4 linked regions of the Drosophila melanogaster genome follow. The protein of the gene in region 1 interacts with the protein of each later gene in a pairwise test. Each region holds a gene or a part of one and is shown on either strand. Other genes may lie near its edges. The genes, in order: Cep290, Rtf1, Lcp65Ac and PheRS-m.

The links.
Region 2: the proteins of Cep290 (region 1) and Rtf1 interact in a two-hybrid assay, tested with the Drosophila melanogaster proteins (one large-scale study listed by BioGRID).
Region 3: the proteins of Cep290 (region 1) and Lcp65Ac interact in a two-hybrid assay, tested with the Drosophila melanogaster proteins (one large-scale study listed by BioGRID).
Region 4: the proteins of Cep290 (region 1) and PheRS-m interact in a two-hybrid assay, tested with the Drosophila melanogaster proteins (one large-scale study listed by BioGRID).

The regions. Positions count from the first base shown.
Region 1 is NT_037436.4:841,944-849,952, reverse strand, and holds the start of Cep290 (centrosomal protein 290kDa), read right to left. Parts: upstream 6,028-8,009; 5' UTR 5,588-6,027; coding exon 5,270-5,587; intron 5,213-5,269; coding exon 5,039-5,212; intron 4,986-5,038; coding exon 4,578-4,985; intron 4,513-4,577; coding exon 3,687-4,512; intron 3,628-3,686; coding exon 2,693-3,627; intron 2,635-2,692; coding exon 2,502-2,634; intron 2,440-2,501; coding exon 2,286-2,439; intron 2,229-2,285; coding exon 1,542-2,228; intron 1,478-1,541; coding exon 818-1,477; intron 765-817; coding exon 632-764; intron 574-631; coding exon 1-573. Other genes in the region: Gr61a (gustatory receptor 61a), read right to left, coding at 6,542-6,622, 6,681-6,933, 6,985-7,139, 7,197-7,319, 7,376-7,542, 7,595-7,789, 7,839-8,009. UniProt on the Drosophila melanogaster protein: Essential for ciliogenesis in sensory neurons and spermatocytes.
Region 2 is NT_033778.4:22,373,271-22,379,030, forward strand, and holds Rtf1 (Rtf1), read left to right. Parts: upstream 1-1,819; 5' UTR 1,820-1,921; coding exon 1,922-2,002; intron 2,003-2,113; coding exon 2,114-3,071; intron 3,072-3,137; coding exon 3,138-4,322; intron 4,323-4,379; coding exon 4,380-4,483; 3' UTR 4,484-5,214; downstream 5,215-5,760. UniProt on the Drosophila melanogaster protein: Plays a role in transcription-coupled histone modification. Required for methylation of 'Lys-4' of histone H3. Plays a role in regulation of transcription. Required for maximal induction of heat-shock genes. Plays a role in Notch signaling in the wing margins.
Region 3 is NT_037436.4:6,142,964-6,145,905, forward strand, and holds Lcp65Ac (Lcp65Ac), read left to right. Parts: upstream 1-1,855; 5' UTR 1,856-1,947; coding exon 1,948-2,075; intron 2,076-2,145; coding exon 2,146-2,347; 3' UTR 2,348-2,430; downstream 2,431-2,942. Other genes in the region: Lcp65Ad, read left to right, coding at 506-636, 728-923.
Region 4 is NT_033778.4:13,966,727-13,970,429, forward strand, and holds PheRS-m (Phenylalanyl-tRNA synthetase, mitochondrial), read left to right. Parts: upstream 1-1,581; 5' UTR 1,582-1,682; coding exon 1,683-2,876; intron 2,877-2,945; coding exon 2,946-3,113; 3' UTR 3,114-3,176; downstream 3,177-3,703. Other genes in the region: CtsL1 (cathepsin L1), read left to right, coding at 29-243, 304-1,015; St4 (sulfotransferase 4), read right to left, coding at 3,190-3,578, 3,628-3,703. UniProt on the Drosophila melanogaster protein: Is responsible for the charging of tRNA(Phe) with phenylalanine in mitochondrial translation.

The sequences.
Region 1 (8,009 bases):
GCCACCGGAGCTGTTGCTCGGCGGACCGTTCCTGCCCAGCTTGGACTCCAGGATTTGCTTGTCCTTTTCCAAGCGCGCTATTGTGGTGCGCGCTGCCTGGAGAAGGGCACGGGTCTTCTCCAGCGCCAGCTCGGTCTCCTCCAGCCGGGCCTTGGTCTTCTCCGCCTGCTGTTGGTACCGCTTCTGCTTCTCCCAGAGCTGCACCTCATTGGCACTCCTCGTGCGCTTGGCCTCCAGGAGCGTCTGCTGTCGCTGCAGCTGGCCACGTGCCTCGTCCAAGTCCAATTCCAGCTGCTGGATTCTCTTCAGCTGGTTCTCGTTCTTAACCCGGGCATTCAGTTCCGTTTTAATGGAGACCACAGGGCGTTTGAGTAGCTGCTGGCGCAGCGACTGGCTGAGATCCCTGGCCTGCTTTTCGCGCTGGGTGACGTTGGCCAGCTGGCGGCGAAGTGCCTCCATTTGGGTGTGATAGATCTTGTTGGTGGCCTCGGTGCGGTTGAGATCGGCAGCCAGCTTGGCTATCTGGTCCTCCGAGAAGTTCGAGGTGTCTTTGATGTAGCGCTGCTGGTCGTCCTGCATGTTTAAAACTTTTAATAGTAGAGATGAATATGATGGTATTGCTGGGCATTACGTGGAAGTTCTTGAGTGTATCCATCAGATCCTTGATGTGCTTGTCCTTCTCATCCAGAAAGATGCGTAGCTGATCCAGTTCGGGATTCACGGTGCTTTCGACCGACTTCTCCCGCTCCTGGCACAGCTTCAACCTGTCGAATGTAACGGATTAAGATCATGCACAACTACTTACTTTACAACTTACTTCTCCTTTAGTATATCCACTTCCTCTTCCCTCGTCTTGAGGCTCCTTTCGCTGTACTCCAGCTTGTCCTTGAGATCCTTGATTTGCTTGTGCAGCGTCGGCACTTCCTTCAGCTCCTCGGTGTCCTGCTTCTCCTCCTCACCTTCGGGCTCTTCGGTAACTATGTTCTCTGGACCTGCTTCCACTGGCACTTCCAACTCTTCTTGGGGTGGTCTCTCCACTGAGCTGCTTTCGAAGAGCTCCTCGATCTTCTCATCCGTCAGCTCGTTGACCGAGCTATCGGAACTGGAACTGGACCTCGAATCCGTCGACGGGTTGCGCTCCACGGGGACCTCGGGTTTCTGTCTCAGCTTCTCCTTAAGGCCCTGAATCTCTGCATCCTTCGTCTTGATGTTGAAGTTCAGGTTGTTAACCGTGGCCCTCAGGGATTCGTTTTCAGCCACCTGTTTGCTAAGTGCTTGCTGACTCTGATCCCTCTCGGTTTGCAGAAGGTCCTGGTACTTTTGTATGGACTGGTCCTTCTCCAGGAGCAGGGTGTGGAACGAGAGTATGGTCTTCTCCACCACACCACCTTGCGGACTGGCGGACTCGCGACTCTCCGATCTGGAAGCCTCCAACTGCTTGCCAAGGATCTCGATGCGCTGGTTGGCTTCCTGCAGACTGTTGGGCATCACCATTTATAGTTGCAAATAGTTATTTACATTTTTTACTTGGGGGAACTTACGTTTCTTGCATTTTTTGTAGCTCCGCGCGGGAATCTCTCCTATTGTCCTCCACTGCATCCGCTGTCTGAACGGCTTGATTCTGCTGGCTGAGAATGCCATTGGTTTGGACTGCCGTCTCCGAGAACTCAACTTGCGCCTCCAGCGTTTGAGTGGCTGTATCCAGGTGCGGATGTTTTCGGAGAGGCGACCCAATGGGCGATGACTCCCTGTCTATCAACTGGACGGCCCTTCTCATGGCCAGATTAGGAGCCACTGCATCGGTATTCGTCTCTGCATCCACCTTGAGTTGACTTCTTGGCTCTCCTTCACCGAACAAGGCCTGGATGGTGCTCCAGTGCTCGGTGTCGGTGGCCTGGCTCATCCTCAACTCACCCAATTCCCGAACGAGCTCCTCCTGTTTGGCCTGCAGAATCTCGCAGCGCTGTTCCAAGAGTCTCGTCTGTGTTTCAGACTTTATGAGCTTCACCAACTGCTGGGAACTCTCCTCGTTGAGACCAATTTTGGCCTGGACCACGGCGGTCACTTCATCAATCAGAGCGGTGTGATCTCTATGTCGCTGCTGCACTTGCTCCTCCTCCAGGCGACGCTGGAACTTTTGGTAGGCGAACACAAAGTTGGTAAGGAAGACCAGTGGCGTGAATTTGGCATATTTATCTTTGAGCATAAACAATGAATGCTGGAGGAATCTGTGGGATTTGGTAGAAAGTCAGATCTGCTAGGGATTATCCACCACTTGGTCTCACTTGTGCTTAATATCGCTATTGGTGCGCTCCTGCTGGAAGTCCTGTTGCGTCTGTTTCAGGGATAACTCGCTGGCCTCCAGTTGGGTTTGCAGGCAGTCCGCCTTTAGCTGCAGTTTTTCTCGCTCTGTTTCCAAGCGGGAGCACTCGGCTTTCACTAAAAAAAAAAAGAGAGACATGCTGGCTACTGATCTTCTCCTCGAATAAGTCTGTGCTTACCACTATCCAGATCCCTCTGGACCTTGGCCAGCATTAGCTTCTCGTCGGAGCTGCTCTGAAGATCGGCCACCAGGTGACGCAGATTGATGTGGTTATCGGTGATCTCATTGAGCAGCCTTTGCTGGGAGTGAATCTGGAAAGAGGATGGGCATTAGATCTCCCATGGGTAGGTATCAAGGAGAATCTCCAACCTGCTCATTGGCCACATGGAGCAGTCCTTCCAGCTGCTTGGTCTCCCTCTGCAGCTCCGCCTGCTTGCTCCTCCAAGTGAGCAGCTCCTGTTGCTGCTCCTCGAAGTCCTGGGCTGTGATGTAATCCAGCTGATAGTTCTCCCTGATTATACCGTACTCAGCGCATATTTCCGTGGGCTTCAGCTCGCCCAGCAGTTGCTCCATCGCCTGGCCAAGTTGCATGCTCAAGATGGCATTCCTGTGCTCCAACTTTTGCTGCTCCTCCGCAGTGTAGAGATTCCTTCGATTCACTTGCTCCAACTCCTCTCTAGCTTCACATAGTTCACTCTTGCTATGCTCCAACTGCCTGGCTAGAGACGCCTTATCATCTATGAAGCGAAGTTCCTGCTTTCTGGTCTCCGTCAGCAGTTGATCGTAATCCCTGCGCATGTAGGAGTAGGAATTCCTTTGCTGCTCCAACTGCAACTCCAAAGCGATCATTTGATCGTGGAGCTCTTGGTTGCGATTCATCAGATCACTGCCATCGGCGGACATATGAAGACGAAGTTCGTCGTAGTGCTTGCGCAGAATGGAGAGCTCAGCCAGGGCCTCGTTCGTGGGTTTCTCCTCGGGATCTGGTACAGTGGGTCTGCGTAATCCCATCGTGGCTTCAGTGGGCGAGCTTGGCCTGGTGGCTGTGTTCAGCACAGCATCCTCCTCGACAGGATGCTCTTCTGCAATCTCGGGAACCTCGCACAGACTATGCACAGAGGACAGTTCTCCCGTCTCGGAGTCACTGTAGTTCTGCTGCTCGAGCAGCTGACGCAGTGCCTCCTCTCGGGCCTTCAGCTCTAGGAGCTGACCCTGGAGTCGCTGCGGAGTGGTCGTTCCGCCGGGCAGAGCTTCGATGAGGCGGCGCAAGAGATCGGAATCGATGGTTATGTGCTCTGAGGTGGCTACATGGATAATGTTTAATACATATAGTTATTCAAGAAATATGTTATGGTTATCTCACCATCATATTCCCGCAGCTTCTCCAGAATCTCGTACATGCCGGAGCGTAGTGTTTCATTTTCGGCCAGGACTTCGTCGTATCGATTCTGCATCTCGGAACTGGCTGCCCCGTCGCCTTGGCCACGTCTCGGCGAATTCTCCAGATGCACACTATGAGGCACTTCACCCACTTCGCTGGGCGCCTGCAGCGATTCGTTCAAGGTCTGCGGACTGTCCTGCTGCAACTCCAAGAGCTTCCGCCTAAGTTCACTCTTTTCCAACTTCAATTGCAGACGCAGCTCCTCGGATGTCCTCAGCTTGAGGGTCAGTCGCTCGATCTGCTTGTCCTTGTTGCGCTGCTTGGAATGGACGTTCTTGGCCATGATGACCACATCGTCGGGGATGTGAAGTTTTCGCCGCAGCAGCTCGTTCTCCTGGACCACCTCGTGCAGGGAGTTCAGCTCCTGGATGTAGGCCCTCAGCTGCTTGTCGCGTGCTGCCACCTTCTGTTCCAATCCCGAGCAGCGTCGCAGAGCGGGAATGAGGCCATCTTCGTCACGCTTGTAGGCCTCCAGGGCACTAATGGCGTGCAGGGCCTGCTGGGACTTGAGCACGTTGTCCTGCTCGGCGGCCTCCAGCATCTCCGAGAGCTGCTGACACCGGGCGGTGGCTTCCCGCAGGCGCTCCTCGATCATCTGGCAGCAGGCTCGCGGCTGCTCGGGATCGTGGGCTCGCTCCTTCTCCTGACACAACTGGTTCATCGCACGCGTGGAGCTAACCATCTCCTCCGCCATTGACTTGATCTTCTCCTCCAGCTTCTCGATGCGTTGTTCCCGGGATTCCAAAAGCTACGAGGGATGAACATTTAGCGAGCTCAAGATCTAGATAAAATATATCGGCAGTTCATCCTTACCTGTCGTAGTTTGGCGTGCTCCTCCTCCTGCTGACTCTGACTGTTGGAAGAATTGGTTTGGCCAGAGCTGATGCTTTTGCCCTCCAGTTGTTTCTTGAGACGCTCCACCTCCTTGTCCCGATCGTCGAGCGCCTGCCTCCAGCCCAGCGACTTGGCCTCGTATTTGTCCAGGAACTGACGCATTTCCACCTCCTGCTTCTCGCGCTCCACCTCCAGGAAAGTTAGATTTCCTTCCAGGCGAGTGATTTCCAGCGCCTGCTGCTGCTCCTTTTGTTTCAAGGACTTGCGCTCCTGCTCCACCTTGGTGATGTCCTGGCTCAATTGCACGAGATTCGCCTTGATGGTCTGCAGCTCCCGCTCGTGGAGCACTATGGTCTTCGATTGAGCTATGTTTTGGTTTTGCAGTGTCTGAAAGGGAATGAATATAGTATATTCTGAATGCAAAACATAATATGACTCACCTCGATTTCCTTTAGCAGCCGCTTGATGTGCTTGTTCTTGGAGTCGATGTTCTGCAGCAGCTGCTCCTGCTTGTCCAGCTCGGACAGGGGATCCGATGAATCCTTGTCGCTGATTTCCGCCTGCTGCGCCGCCTCCTGCAGGCGCAGCTCCAACTGACGGATTTCCTCCCCCAACTAGTGAGAAAAAAGCGTATCCTTGAGCTTGGGTACTTTACATGATCTACTGCTCACCTCCTTGGCTTTGCTCTTCAGGCCATCGCGTTCGTCCTCCAACTTCTGGAGCATTCGCTTCAGCTTCTCATTCTCATCCTGCAGGCGGCGGTCGGAGGAGAGTCCTCCGGCTGCTGATTCCTGCAGCTGCTGTACCTGCTCGCCCTTGTACTCCAAAACGGCCAGGGTGAGTTCCAGGGTTTTCCTCAGCGACTTCTTAGGCAGCTCATCGATGGACTCGGCCAGTTCGAGGAGCGTTTCGTAGAGCTCCTGCTTCTGGCGCGCCGAAAAGTCGCGGAACTTGCGCAGGGATACGGTCTCTGGTATGTCCATGCTCATCCTGGTGGCTCATGGCCTCGCTCCTCGGCGGTTACTCACGTTCTGCGTCCAAATATTCCCCGATTTTCCACACCAGCTCTCCAGTTTTTCCGGTTGCCATGACACTTGGCCCAAAACAAACTACGACTGAAAACCCATTCGGGGGTTGCTTTTCCGGAAACGAGGGTGCCGGCGCGCTCCTTTCAAGTGACCAACCTGCAGGACCTTTGTTTTTGCTGGCGTTCTGTTTTGCTAGCTGCTTCGGCTGCGTAGAAAGTTTCCTGACAGGATAATTGCCTCAACGGCGGCTATAGCGGCAAGGATCGGCGGTGGGAGCAGCCGGTGGCCCACCACAAACAAAAATGGCAATCGGTAACCAGGAAAGTGTTAATTGGCAAAGTGTCAAAGGCCGAGTTTTGAAATTGAAAAGCCATTTCTGTTCGAAGCGACTTTTCCGCCGCCTTCTCGTGTTTCTGTTAACTTTTCTTACACTCGAAAAAAAAATGGTATTTAGTTCAGAGCACACCAAGTGGCTTTTGAAAGGGTTTAGAAGTAAGCAGTAAAGATAAGATTATTATTATTTAGAACTTTAGCTTCCGAACATATTTTTCAGTGCACTCCAACTCCTTTCTCCTTTCAAAACTCATCGAGTTGCCTTCAAAATTACGTTTGCCTACATGTGTAGCAATAATTGAAACTAATGGCAAGCGACTTTGGTTGCCCTCCCATTTGTGGATTCGCCCTCGCTGAATGACAGCTGGCCAAAAATTGAAATTGAAATGACACTCGGAATGGCCAATTATCCTGGAAGCCTTTTGGCCATTTAATAACCGCCCGAGTCGGGTTGGCTGAACTCACACATGAGCTGCTAACTGACTTTTCCTCGCAGGAATCTACCCTTTTTCAAATCTGATTATCTGACTATTTTATTATACATTCAGTTAAGTTAAACTGGACTAAAGTTCACTCATTTAGTTACGCGCACCGCAGTCCCTTGTGGCTCTTAGCATCTATTTGCAGCAGCATAAGTTCGTAGGTCACCAGGGTGGCTAGCATCTGGAGAGGATGGCTGGGATCAGTATGGGAATCGTGAAGACTCGTGAAGTTTACCCACTCCGAAGAGACTCTTTCTTGTCAAGCAGAAGAGACGATATCCAGACAATCCGACAAACTCGCTGGTCAGCTGGTCGGCAAATCTCTGCACCTCCTGCGTCCAGCCATCGCTGGGCACCAAGTACAAGGACCTCAGGGGCAGAAGCGAGGCATCGTGGATCTTGGAGGCAGTCATGAAAACCAGACTCGTCCTGGCCAGCAGGAAGATCAGCGAGTACCAGAAGTAAACGTAGTTTATGGGATGCCGCAGTTTGCTAAAAAGATTTGAAATGAGACTAGGGGGTAGCTACAAACAGATGACTCACGTGAAAATAGCCAACGCCTGGTTGCAGATCACATACACATTGTTAGCGCAGGATACGAACACTATATTCGACATGCTGGCCTCCACCAAACTGGCCAGCTCGCAAAGGCGAATGTGATCCCTCCGAATGTCGTACCACAAGGCTTCGGGAACATGCTAAATGGGATGGGGATTTAAAAGAGAAATACATTGAAATAGTTTGGATTATTTTACACGACCCTCCAGTGCGCCAACTCGAGCGGCAAACTGTTGAAACCTTTGCGCCAGTCCAATACTGGTCATCACAATAAAGATGTCCATGAAGTTCCACAGAAAGGTGAAGGCTCCATTTAGCCACTAAAAAAGAGAGCATTATTCAAACTAACTAACTAAAATATATATAGTTAACTTACAAATCCATAGCACATGGAAAATATATTGAATGGCATGATGAACATGATGTCGGAGAACTCCTTCTCCAAATAAAGTCCAAAGGTAATACGCGAGTGGTTTGTGTGGCACTGCAGGATGTGCATGCTATAGCTGCAGTAGCCAGAGGCGTAGTACAGCATGTGGTCGCCTGAAAGAAAGTTCTTCTGGAAACCATTGAAAGGATAACCCAGAAATCTCACCTACTGCCAGGACGACCACACTCAGAGCAAGGACGTTGACCTTTGACCGAAGGCTTCGCTTGCCACGTTTGTAGGGCGGAAAGAGCATCAGAATGTCCACCGAACTCCAGGGCAGCATTATGTGCGACCAGGAGCGAGCAAAGCCCACGAAGTTTAGCCAGTTGACCATGCCCACGATAAGGAAAACCAAACCCACTATTGAGCTTTCAGTTGGGATCACACTACCATACCATCTAAAACTCACCGATATTCTTGGCATTCAGACCCTCTGTGAAGAGAATATTGGCACCGACCAAGGTCTTCATGCCACCGAGCAAAAGGAAGAGACCGGTGACTGCCAGGCCAATGCTCCTTACCTTGAACTTCACATCCTGGGGATCGCGACTCCGGATATTCGACAAAGGCATAATGCCGA
Region 2 (5,760 bases), on another chromosome or scaffold:
AAAACGCAACGCCAACGCAACAGCGCCGCCGGACAAGAGCTTTCAACCCAAAAATGGCAAAAACAAAGCGGGGGGGCAGGGACAACCCCCTTGGGCGTTCGCCGCTCTTGTTTTCTCTCTCTCTCTCTCTACCGCCCTCACTCTCTCGCTCTGCTGCGCATGCTCCAAAGCTGAGCTTCAAAGCTCCGAGCTCGGCATTTCGAGGGTGGATCGTCGGGGGTTGGGTGGTTAATGCGAAATCCATCTACAGGGGTCGCTGCGAAATGGTCTTGTATTACAGAATCCGCAGATCAACAAATTAATGGGAAAATATATTGTTTACAGGAATTGAGAAACTTACGGGCAAGGGTAGTTCATAATGTTTATTATGTTTCGAAGGGTCTTATTGAAGGCATCTTTAAAGTGAAGCACACAATTTTAAAAAGAGATTTATAGTAACAGAAGAAATAATTTATTTGTTCATCACGTTGAGAACTCACTGTTTTGAAATATGGTTTTTCGGTTGGGCGGTGGCATCGGGTTGGTTGTTTTCATGAGTTGTCGCATTGCTGCTGCTCTCGTCGTAGTCGTTGTTGCTGCAGAATGTGCACTTTGTTGAATGTGCAATGGGCTTCCTCGTGGCGCTGTTATTGTTGCTACAACTGCTGCTACTGCAAATTGCCACGCAGCATTTAAGGCGAATTATGAAAGTTCGTATGTGGGTGCGTGTTCCACCCTCCACCCCCCAAAAAAAAACCCACCCCTTTCGCCCCCGCTGGCAGCATGAACTTAGGGAAAGCGCGCTCGAGGGACCTGGAAAACGCCTGCATTTTAATTAATATTGATTGTAAGCTATTTTATGTGTGGGGAAGGGGGGCAGCAGGTGTGGCTTTAATTTAGTTTTCAAAATGTGTTTTTGCGTGGGGCACAAACAAGTACATAACCCACTTACCAGCGTGCAGACAAATGTTTGCCTATTACAGGGTACACAAAGTCAGCATTCCCGCCCAGCCATTCGGTATCATCATGCAAATTGAAGGGGGCTGGGATAGGGATAATGGGGATGCCGAAATTTGCATTTCAATTCTGCCGCCGCCGGCATTTCCATTCCCCTGCACCTCCACCCACGTCCCCACCCCACCCCTTATGTTTACCTTGCTCGAACAGCTTCGCCGTATTTTTTCAACTCTGCTTTAAGTGTGATTCAGTGTTGCGCTCGACAGCGCGGCAAAATGTGCACGTGCTGCACCAGCCGCAAGGTATTTCCCCGCAGTGGTGGGTGGTAGGTCCTGTCGCGTCCTGTCCGAGCTCAAAAAACTCCAAAAGGAATTGGGCTCGAGTTCAAAATAAGCGATTATTTAAGGGTGTCACATGACATACAAGGGTACCAAATTACTTAAAAAGGAGAGTCTGATATTTTAAAATGAATCAATCAAAGGGACTACTATTCGTTTTAAGTTGTTTTTTTTTTTTTAACAATTTTACAAGCAAAATGAGTTCGAAGATAGTTGTCAAGGATACAAAGATATACAATTGTTTATATTCGCTATTATTATTGTTACTATTAAGTTAGAATAACTTGCTTACATAAAATAAACTGAATCCAATTGGGTAAATTCACTTAAGCTACACGTGAATTTGAAAACACGATTTGTTGCTTATTTATAAAAATATAAATAAAAGTCGGAGATTCCCCTTGAATCCCTTTTGAAACTGTTCCCACTCAATGTGTTCCCTGGGATCAAATAGTTTTCCCGCGCTTACAGCTGACAGCTCGATTACTGTTGCCAGCCCTAGCATATCGATAGCACGTAGCGAGGACAGACAAAATCCCGATAGGCCATATCACACTCGTTGCCATCTCCAACGGCACGCACTAAAATTTTTTCGTTCTGATTTGGTTAAATTTTATTATTAAGTAAAGGCCAGGAAACGATCGGAAATGGGCAAACGGCGGACGCAATCCCTGATCGACTCCAACTCCAGCGATAGCGACAGCGAGTCCGAGACCAATCTGGAATCGGTGAGTGGCTATAGAATAGATCAAATGCATCATCCGCGCCCCTTTCTCCATATTGCGATGTAACGAAAATCAATATAAATACTGAAAATACACCTTATATGTAATCCCCAGGACCTGATGTCGCTCGCCAAGAAGCGAAAGAAGCCCCAAACGGCGGCCAAGTCAAGTTCCCGCTCCGACTCTGATTCCGACTGGGCCAACAACAAAGCTGGAGCTCCCTCGTCCAAGAAGAAGAAGCGTCAGAAGCCCAGCAGAGACTCCAGCTCCTCGGAGTCCAATTGGGATGACGACAGTCAGGATGAGAGGCAGCCAGCGAGGCAGAGTCCTGCACAGACGCAACAGGAGCACAAGCCCCCGGAGCAGGCCTCCCAGCCCGCCCAGCTCAGCGAGCAGGAGGAGGGCGAGGTCTCCGATAGCGATTCCGACAAGTCCAAGTCCAACTCCTCCTCATCCGGCTCCGACTCCTCTAGTTCTTCCTCCAGCTCCGACTCGGAATTTGACGACGGGTTCGATGATGACCTCATGGGCGATGATGAGGATCGAAGGCGTCTCAATGGTTTGTCCGAGAAGGAGCGTGAAACTGAAATTTACAAGCGCATTGAGCAGCGCGAGATTATGCGAACGCGCTGGGAAATCGAACGGAAACTGAAGCTGGCAAGGCGCGGCGAGAAAAACCAAGAAAAGTCCAAGAACAAAGGAGAACGGGCCAAGAAGAAGAAGGAAAAGCGCGAGAAGAAGGCGAGGAAAGCCAGGGAAGCCCAGGCGCCCTTGCCAACTCAAGCTTCCACATCCACACTTTTAGATGTCGAACCCAAGCCCAGCAACGAAGTACGGTCAGCGAGTCCGTTGTCCACGCCTGCCCTTAACCGAGATGCGGCTTCCACTTCAGCGGCAGTGGCCAGTATTATGCCCGACGATGCAGCTTCCTCCGCTGGCGTCTCTGATTACTTTGATCACAAGGAACGTTCCAAGGAGCGCAAGAAGAACGTGGAGGCCAACAAGACGGACGACAAGAGGAGCAATGCCATGGCCTTATTAAAAGCCAAAAGAGAGGGCAAGGCTAAAAGAGGTAAGCATCAGTCGATCATAATCGTCATACGACTCTAATGTGTTGTTTTTTCCATTCACCTTGCAGAAGAGGAGGAAGCCAAACGCATGGCAGAAAAAGATCGTGATGACGACAAAGAGGAACTCGATAGCGTATCTGGTTGTAAATCGGCCGTGAAACTGAAAGCCTCTGAAATATACTCTGACGACTCAGGCAGCAGCGATTGGGATGAGGAAGAAAAGCCCGCGGGCAAACGTTCACGTTCCAACAGCAGCAAGGCCTCCAGCGAATCCGAGGACGAAGAAAAGGCGCCTCAGCGGCCCGTTTTTATAACCACACGCGAGGATCTTAACAAATTGCGTCTATCTCGCTACAAAATGGAGCGATTTGTGAACTTGCCAATCTTTGAGAGCACTGTACTCAACTGCTTTGTCCGGATAAGTATCGGAAACAATGGCCAGAAACCCGTGTATCGAGTGGCCGAAATTGTGGGAGTGGTTGAGACGGGGAAGATCTACAGTCTGGGCACTACACGAACCAATCGTGGATTGAGACTTAAGCACGGAACCCAGGAGCGGGTCTTCCGACTCGAGTTCATTTCGAACCAGGAGTTTACGGAGAACGAGTTCAACAAGTGGAACGAGGTCTGCCAGCAGTCGCACGTCCAGATGCCAACGATTGATCTAATAGCGATCAAGCAGAACGACATCAAAAAAGCATTGAACTACGAATTCAAGGACGAGGACGTGGACAAGATCGTGGAGGAGAAGAACCGCTTCCGGAACCGACCCACCAATTATGCGATGAAGAAAACCTGCCTGATGAAGGAGCGAGATGCAGCCATGTTGCGGGGTGACTACGACATTGCACAGGATCTGGGACAGCAAATCGACGAGCTGGAGAACCGAGCCTCTGAGCTCGACAAAAGAAGATCCCATACCCTCAATCTGATCTCCTACATAAACGACAGGAACAGGAAGAAGAATGTGGAGGACGCTGAGAAGGCAATTTTAGAGGAGGCTCGGGCCAACAAAGGCCTCAAGATCTCGGATCCCTTCACACGTCGCATTACTCAGCCGCGCATGGGCTTCAAGGGTGCCAAGAAGGACGAAGATGACATGCAACTGGCACCACTGCCGCCGCCACCCCCAGGAAAAAAGAGGCCCAACGAAGCAGGAACTTCGAGTGCAAGCGTCAGGTCCACGGACTCCAAGGACTACAGTCTCTACTCACTGCATGACTTTGACATTGACCTAGATGTTCCGCTACCAGGTATGTAACTAACGTATTCTGCAGTTGAGCAATGGGCATAACCATTTTCTTTTTTAGTCAATACGAATTCAGTGCCCAAGCCGGCTAGCAAACCAGCTGAAACAGTCTCCAAACGTTCGCTGAATCTAGAGGATTACAAAAAAAAGCGCGGTCTTATCTAGAAAAGGATGCCGCTGGTCATACATATACTGACAAAGCGTCGCATGTTTACGTCCTAGTTTAGTGTAGTGCCCAAATGAAATGAATACAGCGATCGTTTGCTTCAACGACTCAACCAACTTAAAGAGCAACAAAAAAAACGACGGGCAATCAGCTCGGCTTATAGTTACAGTTCATATATATATATAATAAGGTTGACACAGAAAGTTTTAGATAGGTCGGGCGAATTGAATATCCCAATCGAGGATACTTTCTCTGTTTGTGTTTGTTTTGTTTCACTATTATGATATAATTTTTAGAAAAATTATGCAAGCAACACTTAAGAATCAACAGTAATTTCGAACATTTGGAATGCCTATGCAGATAACGAACTTATTTAAGTATATATTGTGAAATTTTTAAAGTTTTAAGCTAAAAATGTTATAACGAAAAGAGTAAAACCCCATCCAGCCTAATCATTTCCAACGATTTGTTCCATAAATTAACAACTAACATAATTAATACGGAATTAGTTTTCAGCGAAGACTTAATCGTTTACTCAGGCAAATGGCAAATTTGAAGGATATTCCATGGACAAATATGAAGAGGATTATTGAAAGGGTTATATAAGACTCATTCAAGCGAGTATGTATCCGTTGGTTGTAACCGTTCAATGCTGTATTAGATTAAGGCAAAATTCATCAGTTGTAGCAACAGCTTTCATATACTTAAATATACATATATAAATATTATTTATAATAAAGAAAAAGACTTAAATAATGTTATTGATCTAGTGTTGGGATACTGTATAGGATTTGTTATCTTGTATACTTGGCGCCTATTCCCACATAAGCACCAATGAAAAGTAAACTTATGGTCACCATTCTGGACTGTTGGACAGTTGGCTCCTCTTAATTGGTTTGCAGTCTGTTTGCGCAGCTGGCTGACTCCTTTCATGTTCTCACCAAATTAATTCAATTAATTCGATGAAATTGTCTTTTAATTGAACACAATCGCGTTTCGTCAGAGGGAAAAACGTTTTTCAAGATCTGCAAATATATAAAGAGACTTTAACGGTCAATATTTGAAAGGCATATTCGAGCTAACTCCGCTGCAATCGATCGAAATACATGCTAAATAGGATGCTAATTTGAAATAAACTTGAATTGATCGCTATATAATGCACTTCCGCTCGAATATTTTCCAAGTTGTTTCGTTCTGTCTTTTTGGGAACCTCGCCGTGCCGAACATATTGTTTCCAAATGGTGAATGTGACTGATCCGATCACAATGATGACGAC
Region 3 (2,942 bases), 5.3 Mb from region 1:
GAGGGACATTGAAATTGGAAATGGCAAAAGCTTTTTATTAGGCCGAGCATTTCATTTCGCCTGCACTTGAGCCCAATTTCGATGTGACCCAATTTCACAGTTTATTGACTATTTCTAAGACCAACTAACGCAACTCATGGCCTGGGCAGGGCGCACATTGTAGTTAATTTGTCGAAGACAAATGAAATCTGTGTATCTTGTCGCTGGGCAATCAATCAATCGCAAAACAGGCAAAGCCGAGCCGAAGCATCCAGCAACTGGTTAGGTAACCAGTGTGGGTCAAAGGAAACAAAACGACAAACTGGTTTCTCCCACTCCCACTCTCACTTTTTTTTTGGGTCTCGGTTTCTTTTGCTCCCTTAATTGCCACTTACACGCATTGCATTACATGGCCGAAGGAGTATAAATTCGCCACTCGGCAAGAGAATTGCACGCATTGTCTGCACACTCCTCGAACCCATCACTTGAGTCACCCAATCCCCATCAGCCACATTCCAGCTGCAAAATGAAATTCACTATTGCCATCGCCTTCACCTGTATCCTTGCCTGCTCACTGGCCGCTCCTCCAGCCATCCAGCAGGATGCTCAGGTGCTGCGCTTCGACAGCGATGTCCTGCCCGAGGGCTACAAGTTTGCGTAAGTGGTTGTCGTTCAACAGATTCGGCCAGATTTCCAGGTTTCCAACTGTGTCAAGGTCGTTTGCTAACCGGTTTCTGGTTTTCTTTAGCGTGGAGACGAGCGACGGAAAGTCGCATCAGGAGGAAGGCCAGCTGAAGGACGTGGGCACCGATCACGAAGCAATTGTTGTCCGCGGATCCTATGCCTATGTCGGTGACGATGGTCAGACCTACAGCATTCAGTACCTGGCCGATGAGAACGGCTTCCAGCCCGAGGGTGCCCATCTGCCCAGGCCCGTTCAGTGAATCCCAGGGAATCCGATTGAAAGTCATTCGCCAATCAAGTTCCAATTCAGCGCAAATGTGTTAACTATGTCTAAGTTTCGTCTGAAGAACATCATAATATTAAAGTAACATCATTCATTTAAATTCTTACTGTGTACACTTCATTTTGGGACCTAGCTATTTTATCGTAAAGGTCACTGTTCTGTAAAAGTTGTGATTAAAGGGTTTCATAAATTAAAGAAAGTTTTTAAATATAAATAAAAAATCTTTGCATAAAATACATATTCCGCTTTGGTTTTAATTTAATAGAAATAAACTTTGGTCTTTTTATATAAATGCTTATTTTACAGTATTTACACTGTTAGTAGTATATTATTTTAAATATTATCATGAACAAATGTTACAAATGGTGTAGCACAACAGATATTTTCTATGTTCTAAAATATCCAGTTTATTCTATTTAGATTTCAGAGGAAGTGAAAAAGTGCATAATTTTAAATTCTTTACTCTCAACTATAAATCTGAAACCTGAAACGGGCTTTCAATTCGAATCACCTGCCATTTCTGGACATGCTGCTTCTTTTGCTGCAGGGCAACCTAGCCGCCCCACTCTACCACAAAATATGCATATACCCATGGATTATCAAAAATGTTTGGCTTGTTGTCTTCGACTTGGAAGCTATTGGATTGATTGATTCATGAAAAATGCAAATGATGATGATGAGGTATTTCCTAAAAACGGCGTCGATTTGTTTGCCTTAGAAGTTTTTGTTTTAAATTATTATTTGCGTCTTGGTGTGGTTGTTGTGATTTTTTCATGATGTTTTTGTGCGTTTTTCAAGCCAATTTGTTGGCTTTGGTGCTCGGCGTGTAATTAGTCATTTTTATTTTCGACTAAATTTTCTTCGATTGTCGGCCTCCGATCCGACTATATAAACGCCGGGACAGGGCCATAAACATCACAAATCAAGTAACGTTGACTAGCCGTTCGGTCGCAAGTTCCCATCGAATCCTTAGCCAAATTAGCCAAAACAAAAAGAAAAACATGAAGTGCACAGTTGCCATCGTCTTCACCGCTCTCTTCGCCGTCGTTCTGGCTGCCCCCGCTCCCGATGCGGATACCCAGATCCTGCGTCTGGAGTCCGACGTCCAGCCGGAGGGCTACAACTTTGCGTAAGTGTATCAAACTCCGGTCAGCTCGGTGCGACGATTATCCAAGGATTAAATACCCATTCTCCCACAGTTTGGAGACCAGCGACGGCAAGAAGCACGAGGAGCAGGGTCAGCTCAAGAACGTCGGCACCGAACAGGAGGCCATCGTGGTCCGCGGATCCTACTCCTTCGTGGCCGATGATGGCCAGACCTACACGGTCAACTACATCGCTGACGAGAACGGATTCCAGCCCGAGGGTGCCCATCTGCCCAATGTGCCCATCGGCAACTAAGCGGATACGGATACGCTAACCGAGAGCTGTTCTATGTATAATGGTTTCTAGTTGATTATTAAATAAACGCGGCAAAAAAATCGAACTCAATACCTTTTATTTTTTTCAAAGTCTATCTATAAAATTTAATGATTTGCTTGAAATTTAATTAACGCAAATGTCAGTTACTTTGTCTAAGAATATTATGAACAAAAGTCTTTCCTAAACCCTAAAGAAAGGAAAACCCATGATTCATAGAAATATTGATTGCATTTAGTAACACTTACACGTTCTCATCTTTATTGGCACAATATTAAGAGTTCCAATGTAGAGACCCTAATTCATTGGCCATTGCCTGGAACCCATAAACTACATAAATATGCAAGTCATAACAGATAACATATGCTAACTAAGATGGAGTCAAATAGTAAACAAATCCACAGTGTCCCAATACTACCTAAAACCGTTTTCATTATTAGCAATAAGAAAACTCTTCTGCGGAATTTGAATAATATAAGGTAGATTGAAAAATAATAGCTCTTGATTGCTCAAAGATCAGCGACCGGTGGACCGCTTTCATCCCTTTCATCTTCGGCCAAACGCAGCCATTGAATGC
Region 4 (3,703 bases), on another chromosome or scaffold:
ACTAATACTAATACTTTTCATTATGCAGCTGGAGCACCGCAAGAACTATCAGGATGAAACCGAGGAGCGTTTCCGCCTCAAGATCTTCAATGAGAACAAGCACAAGATTGCCAAGCACAACCAGCGATTCGCCGAGGGCAAGGTGAGCTTCAAACTGGCGGTCAATAAGTACGCCGATTTGCTGCACCACGAATTCCGTCAGCTGATGAACGGCTTCAACTACACTCTGCACAAGCAACTGCGGTAAGTTGGGATCGTTAAGGATTATAATGTGCACATATTCAACTTTGCATTCGCTTTCAGTGCCGCCGATGAAAGCTTCAAGGGAGTCACCTTCATCTCGCCGGCTCATGTGACGCTGCCCAAATCTGTGGACTGGCGCACCAAGGGAGCTGTGACCGCCGTCAAGGATCAGGGACACTGCGGCAGCTGCTGGGCCTTCTCCAGCACAGGCGCCCTCGAGGGTCAGCATTTCCGCAAGTCCGGTGTCCTCGTCTCGCTGTCCGAGCAGAATCTGGTCGATTGCTCCACCAAGTACGGCAACAATGGATGCAACGGCGGTCTCATGGACAATGCCTTCCGCTATATTAAGGATAATGGAGGCATCGATACCGAGAAGTCCTATCCCTACGAGGCCATCGATGACTCGTGCCACTTTAACAAGGGCACAGTCGGAGCCACCGATCGTGGATTCACCGATATTCCCCAGGGTGATGAGAAGAAGATGGCCGAGGCTGTGGCCACCGTTGGTCCCGTTTCCGTCGCCATCGATGCCTCCCACGAGTCGTTCCAGTTCTACTCGGAGGGCGTCTACAACGAGCCGCAGTGTGATGCCCAGAATCTGGATCACGGTGTGCTGGTCGTTGGCTTCGGCACCGACGAGTCCGGCGAGGATTACTGGCTGGTGAAGAACTCGTGGGGCACCACCTGGGGCGACAAGGGCTTCATCAAGATGCTGCGCAACAAGGAGAACCAGTGCGGCATCGCTAGCGCCTCCAGCTATCCCCTGGTCTAGAGCAGAACTGATGTAGTTTAGCCCCAGCATTCATATGATATGATTTAGAAAAGAAACAGAAAAGATACCAACGCAAGCATCTCAAAAATGAACTTTAATAATTTAGCCCAACCTCATATTTAATGAACTAATTTTGTAATGGGTCCATTGTATTCGCGTTTCTCTGCCATCATGTATGATATAGGTGAACAACAAATCTGTTGATGTTTGTAGAAAAATAAATAAAAATTATATAATTTTAAAAATTGAAGTTTTTGAATTGGGAGAGAAGTTATTTTGGCAAATCAAAGTTTTGCAGTCAACTAAGTTTGGTTTCTTTTCACTCAAGACATCCCTTAAAAATATATTTTATGTATTTTGCTTTGAATTTGTAATATTTGATTACTTATTCACAATTTTTAGTTTTGATTTAAAAAATACATTTCAATTCATACAATTTCATACAATTTCTGTTCAACACTTTCGCTTTCCGGCAGATGGCGCCAGGTGGTTATCCAACAGCTCTGTTAGTGTGCGCCTAACAGCACAGTCCGTGCTGCTGAAGCCTTGCGACTGCTGTAGAAAATTATCGATATGTTAACATAACATCTGATAACATAACATAACTTCCAAGTTATAACAAAAAATGCAATAAATAGTTGCATCGAATCAATAAAGTCCCTCCAATATGCTTCTGACGCTTCGAGTGCAGGGAGCACGGCACTGGTTGAAGTCCACCCGCTGCCTGGCCAGCAGTGCGGCGCCCGCGAAGTCGCCGTCATCGCCACCGCAGCTGGAGGTCAGTGGAAGCACGTACGCCACCGACGGATGGACGAACGTAACGCCCAAGATACTCTCCTACGTGGGGGCCAACAAGCACCTGCAGACGGACCACCCGCTTTCCATCATCCGCCAGAGGATCGTAAACTACTTTTATGGAGCGTATCGCAACCAAAGGGGCAATCCACTATTCTCCGTCTATGATCAAATGAATCCGGTGGTTACTGTGCAGCAGAACTTTGACAATCTGCTAATTCCCGCCGATCATGTGAGTCGACAGAAATCCGATTGCTATTACATCAATCAGCAGCATCTGCTGCGCGCCCACACCACCGCCCATCAGGTGGAATTGATCTCGGGCGGGCTGGACAACTTTCTGGTCGTGGGCGAGGTGTATCGACGGGACGAAATCGATAGCACCCACTATCCGGTATTCCACCAGGCGGACGCTGTGCGGCTGGTCACCAAAGACAAGCTTTTCGAGCGCAATCCTGGCCTGGAACTCTTTGAAGAGACGTGGTCGGGTACGCTGGCCGACCCCAAGCTGATTCTGCCCTCATCCAAGTTCATGGACCAAACCAAACAGCCCTGCCACACGCTCGAGGCCGTCAAGTTGATGGAGCACGAGATGAAGCACGTGCTGGTTGGCCTGACCAAGGATCTGTTTGGGCCGCGCATCAAGTACAGATGGGTGGACACCTATTTTCCCTTCACCCAGCCCTCCTGGGAGCTGGAGATCTATTTCAAGGACAACTGGCTGGAGGTCTTAGGCTGCGGCATCATGCGCCACGAAATCCTGCAGAGATCGGGCGTTCATCAATCGATTGGCTACGCCTTTGGCGTCGGCCTGGAGCGACTGGCCATGGTGCTGTTCGATATACCTGACATCCGGCTCTTCTGGTCGAACGACAGTGGCTTTCTGTCGCAGTTTAGCGAAAAGGATCTGCACAATCTGCCCAAGTACAAGCCCATCTCCCACTATCCGCAGTGCACGAATGACTTGTCGTTCTGGCTGCCCCAGGACATTGAGGTGGATGCCGGCTTCTCGCCGAACGACTTTTACGATCTAGTCCGCTCTGTAGCTGGTGATATGGTGGAGCAGGTTGGTCTTAGCTATCCCAAACGTATCATATGTTACGAGTATTTCTCATATACTTTACTTTTCTTACAGATCAGTCTGGTGGACAAGTTTAAGCACCCGAAAACGGGGAAATCGAGCGTGTGCTTCCGCATTGTTTATCGCCATATGGAGCGCACCTTAACCCAGGCGGAGGTCAACGAAATCCACAAGCAGATCGCTAGTGCGAGCGTGGATAGTTTCAATGTGCAAATACGTTAGTCATAGTCTAGTTCCGTTTCAATTCAAAACCAAAAAAGAAAAACACCAGTAAAGATAGCCAACAAAGTCAGGTATTTCATATGGTCTTGAATGATTTAATATTCTGTTCCACCCACTCGTTGGCGCTCTTCAAAAGCTTCGGATTCTCCACGAACTCCTGTTGCGGCTGATACGCTGTCTTGGCTCCGCTGCGCACGAATCCTGCCTCTCCTTTGTTGAGAACGCCAACGGAAGCCATTTCGTGCATGTTTACGGACTTGTTCTCACGGAAGCTTCTGATGCTCAGATGATCGAGTAGCCTATCCATATCCTCGGGTTTCGGTGGACACTCTAAGAAGCTGGCTATGCTGTTGATTGCACCTGGCAGATCAGCCAACATGTCTTCGTAGCGCAGAAAGAGTACATTGGACAAATGGGCATGCTCCCGCGCCTCCTTAACGTGACTGTAATAGGGCAGCCAGGGATCTGAAAGATAGTTGGTTAAGGATGGCAACTCCATCGAAGGATCACTTACTTAATCCGTTTTGGAAATAATGCCAGTAACGCTCAAAATCTCCGACGTATCCTTGGGTGCGGAAGAGTCTGTTCAA